3 linked regions of the Caenorhabditis elegans genome follow. The protein of the gene in region 1 purifies or fractionates together with the protein of each later gene. This does not show direct contact. Each region holds a gene or a part of one and is shown on either strand. Other genes may lie near its edges. The genes, in order: hrde-1, npp-13 and emb-4.

Evidence for each region.
Region 2: the proteins of hrde-1 (region 1) and npp-13 purify together in Caenorhabditis elegans (affinity purification with mass spectrometry, with the first as the bait; one study listed by BioGRID). This does not show direct contact.
Region 3: the proteins of hrde-1 (region 1) and emb-4 purify together in Caenorhabditis elegans (affinity purification with western blotting; 2 studies listed by BioGRID, with this or other methods). This does not show direct contact.

Annotation. Positions count from the first base shown.
Region 1 is NC_003281.10:4,174,023-4,177,775, forward strand, and holds the start of hrde-1 (Argonaute protein hrde-1), read right to left. Parts: upstream 2,138-3,753; 5' UTR 2,132-2,137; coding exon 2,023-2,131; intron 1,972-2,022; coding exon 1,761-1,971; intron 1,716-1,760; coding exon 762-1,715; intron 713-761; coding exon 188-712; intron 141-187; coding exon 1-140. Other genes in the region: C16C10.13 (Rab3 GTPase-activating protein catalytic subunit), read left to right, coding at 2,761-2,877, 2,922-3,191, 3,236-3,544; utp-11 (putative U3 small nucleolar RNA-associated protein 11), read right to left, coding at 3,644-3,753. UniProt on the Caenorhabditis elegans protein: Argonaute protein which is involved in the endogenous small interfering RNA (endo-siRNA) pathway and is required for RNA-mediated gene silencing (RNAi) in the germline.
Region 2 is NC_003279.8:2,095,269-2,099,021, forward strand, and holds the start of npp-13 (Nuclear pore protein), read left to right. Parts: upstream 1-2,077; 5' UTR 2,078-2,078; coding exon 2,079-2,177; intron 2,178-2,231; coding exon 2,232-2,471; intron 2,472-3,321; coding exon 3,322-3,438; intron 3,439-3,753.
Region 3 is NC_003283.11:18,893,361-18,897,113, forward strand, and holds the start of emb-4 (Intron-binding protein aquarius), read right to left. Parts: upstream 1,615-3,753; 5' UTR 1,609-1,614; coding exon 1,540-1,608; intron 1,471-1,539; coding exon 1,136-1,470; intron 398-1,135; coding exon 90-397; intron 1-89. Other genes in the region: nhr-243 (Nuclear Hormone Receptor family), read right to left, coding at 1,957-2,055, 2,118-2,388, 3,205-3,404.

The sequences.
Region 1 (3,753 bases):
CATCGAGCCATTTCTTCATCAGATTTTGGATAGCAACGGAATCACTGGAGTTCAATTCACGGATGGACCAATCTCGCGAGTCCTTTTCGACCGTGATTCCATTGTCACGACAGAAATTGGACAGCTTGTCGCAGAAATCTCTGAAAATAGAATATTATAAAGCAGAAGAAAACAACGTTCGACTTACTCGGCCTGTCTCATTTGGATACAGTTGTCAAAGACAACAATACCAATTTTTCTGATCCGTGCTGGTTCGACAAACTTGTCCTGTGTGCGGAACGCTGGACGGCTCATGTCAGGCATGTAAGTCTGGCCCTTGAACTTGATTTGAGCTGGTGGGAGGAGCTTCGCAGTCATTTGGATTGGCTCAGTCGACATCAGTTTGATTCCGAAAGCATCCATGTACTTATTTTGTTCAAGCTTCAAGTTGTCGCGGAGAATATCTTGAACCAACTTCACATGATGCTGTGGCATAGACGCATTTCTTCCTGTCATCGCCGATTGTACTGTCGGGCTCATCTTGTTGACCTTGATCCGCTGGCCTGGAGCAATTCGAAGCAACTCCATTGGGAAGAAAGATTCATGTTTGAATCTTTTTGAGACGACGAGAGGAAGTCTCGGATATTTCAGCTTGATGTTGTACTGCAACAGGAAATATTCCGCCACGGTGACCTCGCGTTCTCCCTTGTCGTCCTTCATCATGAACGAAGTGCTACAAAACAAATTGTTATCACGCTGATGATAACTATCGAATAACTTACTTCTCAGCATTGTTCTCGGCAATCGAGGATACGCGAATAAGGTTACCCTTCAAGTGAGTGCATTCCACGTCCAATCCTTTGAGTGCTTCTTCAATGCATCGCTTCGTGTTTCCTCTTTCGCCAAAAGCGTGTTCCAACTCAGCAGCATCACTCGGAGAGTAGTCCGCTCCATTTGAAGAACCACTGTCTCGACGGGAATCGTACATGTCGCGACGTCCTCTGCTTTCATCTCGGTACCTGTCGTTGCCACCTCGGTTTCCATAGACACCACGAAAGTCTCTCGAGTCGGAACGGCCGCCACGGTATCCACCACGAGAGTCTCGCGAGTCACTTCTTCCGTATCCGCCTCTTCCACCGCCTCCACCTTTCATTTCGGATAACTTGTTGCTTGAAAACTTGATAACTGATGTATCCTTGTAAAATGGAGAAATCTTCGTATCAACCGTCATGAAAGCTTTGCCACCTCCGTTTTGCGATAGACGAGATACTTTCGCAAAACCTGAGCGGATCTCCGAAATAGCATCAGGTTCCGAGTGTGGCGGAGAAAGACGTGGGAATGTGGCATTACCAAATTGTAAGTAATCCTCATTGTTGAGCTTTTGTGAAGTGACGATTTCGATAATACGAGTCAACTCCATACGATTAGCCTCCTCCTGGGCAACTTCTCCTTGGGTGTACACAAATCCGGCAGGTTTGAGAACAACAAGGTAAGAATCGTCCTTTCTGCGAGACAACTTCGACACGAATTTCCATTCTTCCTTCGGGAAGTCATCGATCGTCAACGTGACTTCTTCTTGATCGTCACCAGTGTAGACTCCCTCCGGAAGATAGAGAGTCGCAGCGCAGTCGTAAGCAAGGAAGTGGTGACTCTTTCCACTGAACTTCACCAGAAGCTTGTCATGTACTGTTCTCATGATGTAGTATTGTGCCAAGCGACGGTTATGGGAATTGACACTGGAAAGTACTGATTTTGAGCGGTTATACAAATTAAATACTTACTCTCCCTTGGCCGCCAAAACTCCAAGGTTGGCATTGATCTGTTTTCCGTTGCTGGAACAGACGATGACGTCAACTTGAAAGCGTTGGATCTTGTGGGGCATATCCTTGATGTCCACTGGAAACATGTTCATCTGAACATTCATCGTGTCCATCGTTGCGAAAGAGTCCCGTCCAATTGGTGTTGTTGACTTCGGAGTAGAGAACATTGGTGCTGAAAAAGACAATTTTGAACTCCTAGGCATAATGTTGATTCTAAACGAACCACTTCTCTTTGACGTCGGTTCGTCCTTGTCCTGATTCATTCGGTTGTCTCGTTTGGGAATCCTGTTGGAAGACGAACTTCCCATAATTTTGTCGAGCAAGTCGGCCATGTTTGACTGAAATAAGAAACGATGAAACGAAAAAACGATGCGAATTTCAGATGTAATTGAGATAAAACAGTGAAATTTACTAAGAAAAAGTAAATGAAACAAAAGCTTTACCGTCCTGATTGAGATTTTCAAGTAAAATGAGAAAAAACGCAAGGAGAGAAATGAAATGAAAATAAATAAATTTTAGGCCAGAAAATTCGAGAAAACACATCCGTGGCGGTACAAAAGTTCAAATCGTGGCGCCACATGCGTTGTAACAATAGAGCGCGCTTGCATTGTGATCTCTTCGAAAAATTTCACGTCTAGAAATCGAATTTTATTAGTTTTCAAAAACTTAACGACTATTCTGAACATTTCAAATAAAATAATAGAAAACAATATTTTTAAAAAATTAATTTGTTATGCTTCAATAAATATTAATTATTTAATTCATTTCTACAATCAAAACGATGCTGGTTTTTCAAGTTTTCTGCTTTTTCGTCTCTTTTCTGGCAAATTCAATAAAATGCGACATAATTCATCTCAAACATATGCCTAAAATTCTGAAGGAAAAGGCGTTGCTCGAAAAGCCGATAATTCCAAACAGGCTGCTCCAGCCATTCCTTAATGAATCAATTGCTCATATTTTGATGAATCCGTTAGCTGAAGTGAAGACGAATGCGACGGAAATTAAGTTTCTAAATTATCTAGAAGATAAAAAGAAATATGAACCCGATTGGACAATTCGAGAACTTGAAGATAAAATTGTGAGCTTAATAAGTCATTTTTCAAGTCTAGAAAAGAGTTTCAGAGCCTATCAGAACTGGTCAAGACTTGTCTAGAACACCACTCGTTTCTAGATCTTCCAGATTTATTTCCTCGTTTTCTGTGTGGTTTGTTAGCAGTGTATAGGGAACAGAACACGACAAGTCTTCCATATACTGGATCAATATTTTCTCGATCATCAAATGCAGTAAAATTTCTAAATGATCCAGAGAATTATCCATGTCATTCTATGAATATGACTGATGTGGTGGCACTGGTGCCAGGAAGAATATACAGTGGATGTGTCAAGGATACGGTATCCTTTTCAACAAAATTCTGAAAATCCAGTTATCTGTTTAGGACCCTGAAAAATTCAGTCAATTCGATTCCGTCTTCATCATGTCTCATCCATTCCCAGATGTTCAAAAGTGTCAACAACCTGTGTCAGTGATGCCAAAATGCGAACTGCGATCGATGCTAGTGCAACACAAGATATTGTATCAGCAAAAAGATTGTTGCTGCGATTCCAACATGTGTGCCGTGCTCATCTTCACTCAGACCTCTTCACTGACTCCGCTTGTTTTAAAGACGATTGATTTGACGAGAGAGACGATGGTCCCGTTTCCAGTGACAACGACAGAGATCTCTTTAAATTCAATGTTTCAATAAAGTCAACAATTTCAATAACGCATAAAATGTAAACTCAACAGCAAAAATTAACAAAAAAGAAGATTCAGAATAAAATGGGATTAAAAAAAAAGAAATTAACTACTTCTTTCGTTCATAGGTCCATTTGTAGACGGCTGCTCGCATAGCTTTCGCCTTTTTGACCTTTTGAGGCTTCAATTCTGATTTGCTTCCAGCTGCCAATTGTTTCT
Region 2 (3,753 bases), on another chromosome or scaffold:
CTGGGGGGGGCGGAGTCTGAGCACACAGAATTTGGAGCATTTTGGAAGAGGGGAGGAGAACCATATAGATGGTTATCTGAAGGAAAAGGGGTATATTGAGATTGATGTGGGTGTGGTGGTAATTGGATATTAATTGGCACTTTGGTGAGGATTTTGTGAATTTTCAAACTTTGCGCGTCGAATTTGGTGTATTCACATTACACACTGATTTCTGGCTTCCCTTGAAATGGAAGAGTTTTTGCCGAACTAGGCCGTTTTGGCTCGGCCATATCTGGGGTAGATTTACGGCGCGTTGCGTGTCGCGTCGCGGCTCGATTTTAGTTGTAAAACTAAATGTATTTGTCCGTGTGGAGTACACGACTTTCCCAGTCCGGCAGGCGATTGTCAATGGAGCGCGAAAAATTCAATGAGGAAGGCAATAACCCCGTAGTACTCTAATTAAGTGTCCCGTTTTTACGAAATTTTTATAAAAATTGGTTTTTTTTGTTTTTAGAGAAAATTATGAATATATTTTCTTGTTTTTCTAATCAACAAAAGCGAAATTTAATGTAAAATTACACGGGGTTCTGGCCTTCCTCGTTGAATTTTTCGCGCTCCATTGACAATCGCCCGCCGGACTGGGAAAGTCGTGTACTCCACGCGGACAAATACATTTAGTTTTACAACTAAAACCGAGCCGCGACGCGCCGTAAATCTACTCCAGATATGGCCGAACCAAAATGGCCTAGTTCGGCAAAAACTCTTCCATTTCAAATTATGAGTCCCCATCATGCCTAAGAACCCTCTATTTAGGTTACTGACACATCTGAAACCGGTGCTACAGTACCCTGCGTGGTGGGACCCGAAAATTTGAAATTTGGCAGAAAATGGGCAAGATGGGAGTCATTTTGAAGCTGAGAATGAGGAGAATGTGAATTTTAGAGTAATTTAGAGAAAAAAGTGAAATTGGGGAAAAAAAAACAATTTTTTTGGAAATTTTTTCATTTCAAAAATGTTCTTTAAATTGTCGTTAAATTCGAATTTCTCGATTTTCAGCTGTAAAATGACCCCCATCATGCCTGGGAATGCTTCAATTTCACACATTTCCCCATTGACACAGCTGAAACCGGTGCCACAGTACCCCGCGTGGTGGAAAAAAAACCCGAAACTTTCAAAAGAAATCCCTGATTTGTTTTACACTGAAAAATTGTTGAATTATCACGGGAACACAAAATTCAGAGAATGCGTATTGCGCAACAAATTTGACGCGCAAAATTATTAATATCTCGTAGCGAAAACTACAGTAATTTAAAGAATTTAAAGAATTACTGTAGTTTTCGCTGCGAGATATTTTGCGCGCCAAATATGTTGCGCAATACGGGCTCTCTGAATTCTGTGTTCCAGTAATTTTTACTTATAATTATTTTCCATAGACCAGTAAAACATTTACTGATTAAAAAAGCTCTCGACACAACTGTCACTAAATAATTCATTTTTTTAAAAGAAATTTAATGTTTTTTAGTGTTCAAATCATCCAATTTGTGATTTATTATCTGCTCCATGAGTTCCTGAGACCGATCTACCATCTGGCGGTGTACTTCTAACCGGAAAAGTCGATAATGTGGATGCTACGACACGCTCCCGAATTTATGTCTTTTTTTTCGTTTTTCTTTAAAAATAATACTCAATTTTCTTGAAACATTTTCATCGAAAATGTTTTTTTTTTCAATTTTTTTGTAAGTTTTTCATTTTCCCACTCAATTTGTACTGAATTCGATTCAATTCCAGCGGAAATTAATTTAAATTCAGCTCTTGGCAATGTGCCAAGAAGCTGGTGGCCTAGAACTCGAAATACTGGCCTAGGATTCATGCGGGATTTCGGAGTGTCGTTGCACCGATTTTTTCAAAATTAATTTTCGTTTTGCCGCGAAAAACGAGAATTATTTGGTTTTTAAAACGTTTTTTAACGATATTTTTCGATTATTTTCATATTTTTCAGGGTTTAAACTGGAAAATGTGGTTAATGTAAACTGGTTAATGTTGTAAATCCTTGAAAAAACCTAAACCAGTAATTTTCTCAATTTTTAATTCAATTCAGGATGCTACAGTTTACGGAGATCCTCGGAAGAGTTGATCATCAAGGATTCGCACAATTGCTTGCTAATCCGATTTTCCAAACCAACCGTGTCGGCCAAGAGGTTTGTAAATAATGTTTAAAATGTTAAAAACACCGAAAAATTCCCTTTTTCCAGAACTCGCAGCAATTCACAGTCCGAAATGGCGTCGAGCAGGAGCTTTGCGGTATTTTAGGCGGTTCAGAAGGCGACTGGACACGTCAGACGCACTCAGTTCAGAAGCAGATGATGTTTGGGGAGCGTGGCATCGAACTTCCGAGCCGCCAGCCGAAAAGTCACACCGCCGAGGATACTCTCACTGATGAAGGTGTCGTGGACGTGCCTGAAGCTGTAATGGATGATATTGACGAGGAAGAAGTACTTAATCACGGCCTCCTTGAGTGTTCATAATTATTGGAGCGAGCTCGCGTGGCACCTCACGAACTCCAGAATTTGCGGGAGTTCGTTCCGCGGGAACAGCAGTTTTTTGTTATTTTTGGCTTCTATAGGAAATATTTTTGATTTTTTGTTTTATAATATTCTTGAGAAACATCATCCGAATTGAAAATGTGTAAAATTATGAAATTGGCCGAAAACTGGAAGTTTTACAGAAGAAAGCCACTATAGTTTTTGAAAAAATGTATCAGGATCGCCAGTTTTGCGATTTATGCGTCGTAAAATATGTCATTTTGTAGAGAATTAAAAGTTTCATAAAAATTTTCGTTTGAAATTTTAATTCGTTAATTTCTAATAAAAAAATATTCAAAAAATCAACAATTTTACGTTAAAATCTTATTTCTTCAATTTTTAAGTTTTCAATAAAAACAATTTTAAATTTTCAAACAAAAATTCTTATGAAACTTTTAATTCTCTACAAAATGACATATTTTACGACACATAAATCGCAAAACTGGTCCTGATACATTTTTTTAAAAACTGTAGTGGCTTCCTTCTGTAAAACTTTCAGTTTTCGGCCAAATTTTATAATTTTACACATTTTCAATTCGGATGATGCTTCTCAAGAATATTATAAAACAAAAAATCAAAGATATTTCCTATAGAAGTCAAAAATAAAAAAAACTGCTGTTCCCGCGGAACGTGTTCCCGCGAATTCTGGAGTTCGTGAGGTGCCGCGCGAGCGCGCTCTAATAATTATGAACACTCCAGGTGGCCGTGATTAATTAATAATTTATCATGAAAACAACGTTTTAATCTTTAAATTTTCCAGCTCGACGAGGACATTTCTCGTGTTAAAGTGGAGACGGATCGAGCATTCTTCAACCACATGCTTCTTTCGAGACCTGCCGCAGTTCCCATGAATCCAGCACAGGCTATGGAACGAGATGTTCGTTAAAATCCCTTGCGCGGCACACCTCACGAACTCCAGAATTCGAGGGAATTCGTTTCGCGCGCACTTCTATAGATATTATTTTCTATTTTTTTGATTTATAATGTTGTTGAGAAGCATTTTTCCGAATTGAAAATGTTTAAAATTATGAAATTTGACCAAAAACTGACGGTTTTACAGAAGGCTTTCTTTAAAATGTATCAGAACCGTCAGTTTTTTGATTTCAAAGTCGTAAAATATTTAATTTTGTAGATAAAAGTCTGTTTCACAAAAATCCACGTTTGAAAATTTAAAATTGAAAATTGTTTTTAT
Region 3 (3,753 bases), on another chromosome or scaffold:
TTCGCATTTCTCTTCAAAAAAACGGAATTTCCGGCGTTTTTCACCGATTTTCTCCGTTTTTTCCGGAAAATTTAGCATTTTCCACGTACCCTGAGCCTCATTTGGCTCCAAACTGTTCAAAACTCGTTTAAATTTCTCGATTAAATTCCACAAATAAGTCCGTTCGAACTCGTTGTTGTCCGCCGCCGCCGCCGTCATTTTCTGCCGCACATTTTCCCAAATTTTCTTCAATTTCTTCTGTTTTTTGAACAAATCTTCGCGTTGTGAGTCCAAAAGACCGGCCCAAATCTCAATTGAGACGAGTTTTCGTGTCTCTTTGTGCACAATTGGTGTCTCAACGGAGCCAAATGCGTTGACAAGGAATGTCAGAAGAGCACAGTGTTCTGAGGAGGCGAGTCTGCAAAATTTCGAAGGATTTTTTGGTGAAAATTGGGGAGAAATTTAGTGGAAAATCGCATTTTTCGCGTTTAAATAGTGGTGATTTTCAGTGGTTTTTTGCTTTTTTCGCGAAAAAAAACAAGAAAATTGCTCGAAATTAGGTGCAAAATGAGCGAAAATGCCGAAAAATTGCTATGAAATTCGCAAAATGCAGCTAAAAATGAGCAAAAAGCGATGAAATTGGTTTTTTGGGCGCTGCTAAGACTACAAACTACAAGTTTTGGGCGCTGCTAATTCAATTTTGGGCGCTGCTTAGACTACAAACTACAAGATTTTGGGCGCTGCTAATTCAATTTTGGGCGCTGCTAGACTACAAACTACAAGTTTTGGGCGCTGCTAACGACATTTTGGGCGCTGCTAGACTACAAACTACAAGTTTTGGGCGCTGCTAAGACTACAAACTACAAGTTTCGGGCGCTGCTTAGACTACAAACTACAAGTTTTGGGCGCTGCTAGACTACAAACTACAAGTTTTGGGCCCTGCTAATTCAATTTTGGGCGCTGCTTAGACTACAAACTACAAGTTTTGGGCGCTGCTAAGACTACAAACTACAAGTTTTGGGCGCTGCTAATTCAATTTTGGGCGCCGCTTAGACTACAAACTACAAGATTTGGGCGCTGCTAATTCAATTTTCGAGCTAATTTCGAGTTTTCTGAGCTTTTTCGCCATTTTTCCGCTAAAATCTCGAATAATCACCCTTCTTCCTGCAACGAAAGCTGCAAAATGCTCTTAAAAAAGTGCGGAAAGTGCTCGGATTTCTTCGTGAAACAGTTCCACGAATCCAAATTTCGTTCTCGAAATTTCTCATTAATCATCACAACAATCGACATATTCCAGGCCTTTGAGGCTTTTTCTGGAACGTAATTCGGCCATAAATAGGCCTCCAAGTACTGCGAAAACTCGAGCATCATGATTTTTCGCGAATTAAACGAGGTTTTCAGCATTTCATTGTCGTAAATTGTGTCGATGAGCTTTGCGTCGAAATTTTCGTGAGTTTCTGCTGTGAATGGAGCCCAGAACTTGGCGGCGACCTGAAAAATTGGGAAATTTTAGGAGGAAATTTGATTTTTGTAAGTTTTCTAAGGTTTTTTTGCACCCACCGCTGAAATTGTGTCATTTTCGATGGCTCCCCGAGTCACCACGGCTTCTTGATGACGTTTAGTCACCATTTACACCTGAAAAACAGTTTTTGCCGAAAATCGCAAGATTTTAGCGATGAAACTGGTGAATTTGGGAGAAAATATCAAGAAATATTAAATTTTCGAGTTTTTTAATGCAAAATTCACTAAAAAACCTCGAAAATTCATTGAAAAACAACGGAAAATCAGAAAAAATAACTGAAAATAAAAATAAATTTCGAAAAATCCGGAAGCGCGCCTTGGACTTTTGCTGGCGCACTTTGCGTGCTTGGCGCATTTCTCGATTTTTTTAATTTATTTTTTGTCATTTTTCATCGAAAAACCTGCAAAAACCTCAAAAAATCACGATTTAAAGTTAATTTATTCAATAAAAATCAATTATAAATCCTCAAAATACTCATAATGAGAAAATCGCATCGTGTGAACGTCGAAAACCTTGGCCAATTGGAGTTTTGAGCGGATTTGGAGCACTTCTTCCTGCAAAAATGTGTTAAATTTTATTAATTTATCAATATTTAGAGTGAAAAAGCTAAGAAAACCTTAATTTTCCGGATAATTCTCAAAATCTGCGCCAGGCGAACTGAATATCTCGGCGTTTCCTTCACATTAACATAGTAATCATGCAGATTATTCGCCAATTTTTCCATAATTTTCTCGCAATTTTCTTGAATTTCGCCTCGAAATCGGCGTCCCGCGTGTCCGAGCACCAAATGAGCCAGCATATAGGACAGCTCCACGTCATCTGGGTTCAAATTCATCATTTCTTGGGCAAATTTGTAGGTTATGTGGTTTTCTGACGTGTCGTAGAAGCTGAAAATTGGTGAAATTCTGCTGAAAATGCGCTGGGCGCTGCTAAGACTACAAACTACAAGTTTTGGGCGCTGCTAATTCAATTTTGGGCGCTGCTTAGACTACAAACTACAAATTTTGGGCGCTGCTAATTCAATTTTGGGCGCTGCTTAGACTACAAACTACAAGTTTTGGGCGCTGCTAATTCAATTTTGGGCGCTGCTTAGACTACAAACTACAAGTTTTTGGGCGTTGCTAATTCAATTTTGGGCGCTGCTTAGACTACAAACTACAAGTTTTGGGCGCTGCTAATTCAATTTTGGGCGCTGCTTAGACTACAAACTACAAATTTTTGGGCGTTGCTAATTCAATTTTGGGCGCTGCTTAGACTACAAACTACAAGTTTTGGGCGCTGCTAATTCAATTTTGGGCGCTGCTTAGACTACAAACTACAAATTTTTGGAATTTTGAAGCAATTCCAATAGAGTTTTTAATGGAAAAAATGCCAGAAAACTGAGAAAATTAATAATTTTCGCGGAAATTTTCGCGGAAAAGAAAATCGAATTGGAGATGGTTTTGACTACAAACTACAGCATTTTGGCGCTGTTTAAGCCTAAAATGCACACTTTCGCAGGATTTTGTCACAAAAATTTCGAGTTTTCGGGTGATTCTGAGGGGGTTTTAAGCGTATTTCCGAAATTTTCCGCTACAAAAACTACTATTTGGTTTGATCTACGAGAATTGCGGGGTGTTTAGAGATAGAGTTTGCTGACGTCATATTTTTCTGGGAGTGAAAATTTTTCCCGCATTTTTTGTTGATCAACCCTAAGTACTTACAATTGCATTTGCTGATTGGTTAATCGTGAGCACCACGTCAAATCCAACTCCATATTCTTCATATCCATCATTGAATACTCATTTTTATGCGAAAACATTACACAATCACCGCAGCACATCTTCATCCGTCGCCCCATCGCTGTAATTGCCAACTTATCCAGACGAGACCATACATGCCACGTGGCGGCAAGGATTTTTAGCTGGAAATTTTCGGGATTTCAGGTGGTTAAAACTATAAAAAGTGGTGGAAATTCTAATAGAAATAGAACATGTTTTAAGAGCTAAAATCTCGAAAATTTCGCCAATTCACTGCAACTTTTTCCTCACGAGGGACGAGGAAAAGTGGTTTCTAGGCCATGGCCGAGGGGCCGACAAGTTTCAGCGGCCATTTATCTTGCTTTGTTTTCCGCCTGTTTTCTTTCGTTTTTCATCGATTTTTTTCGTTTTTTCTTAATAAAACTGATAAATAAATATTTTTTGCAGATGCTAAAACAATTTCCAAGTAAAAAAATTATGTATTCAGTGGGCAAGCAGCGGTGAAAGTGGTCA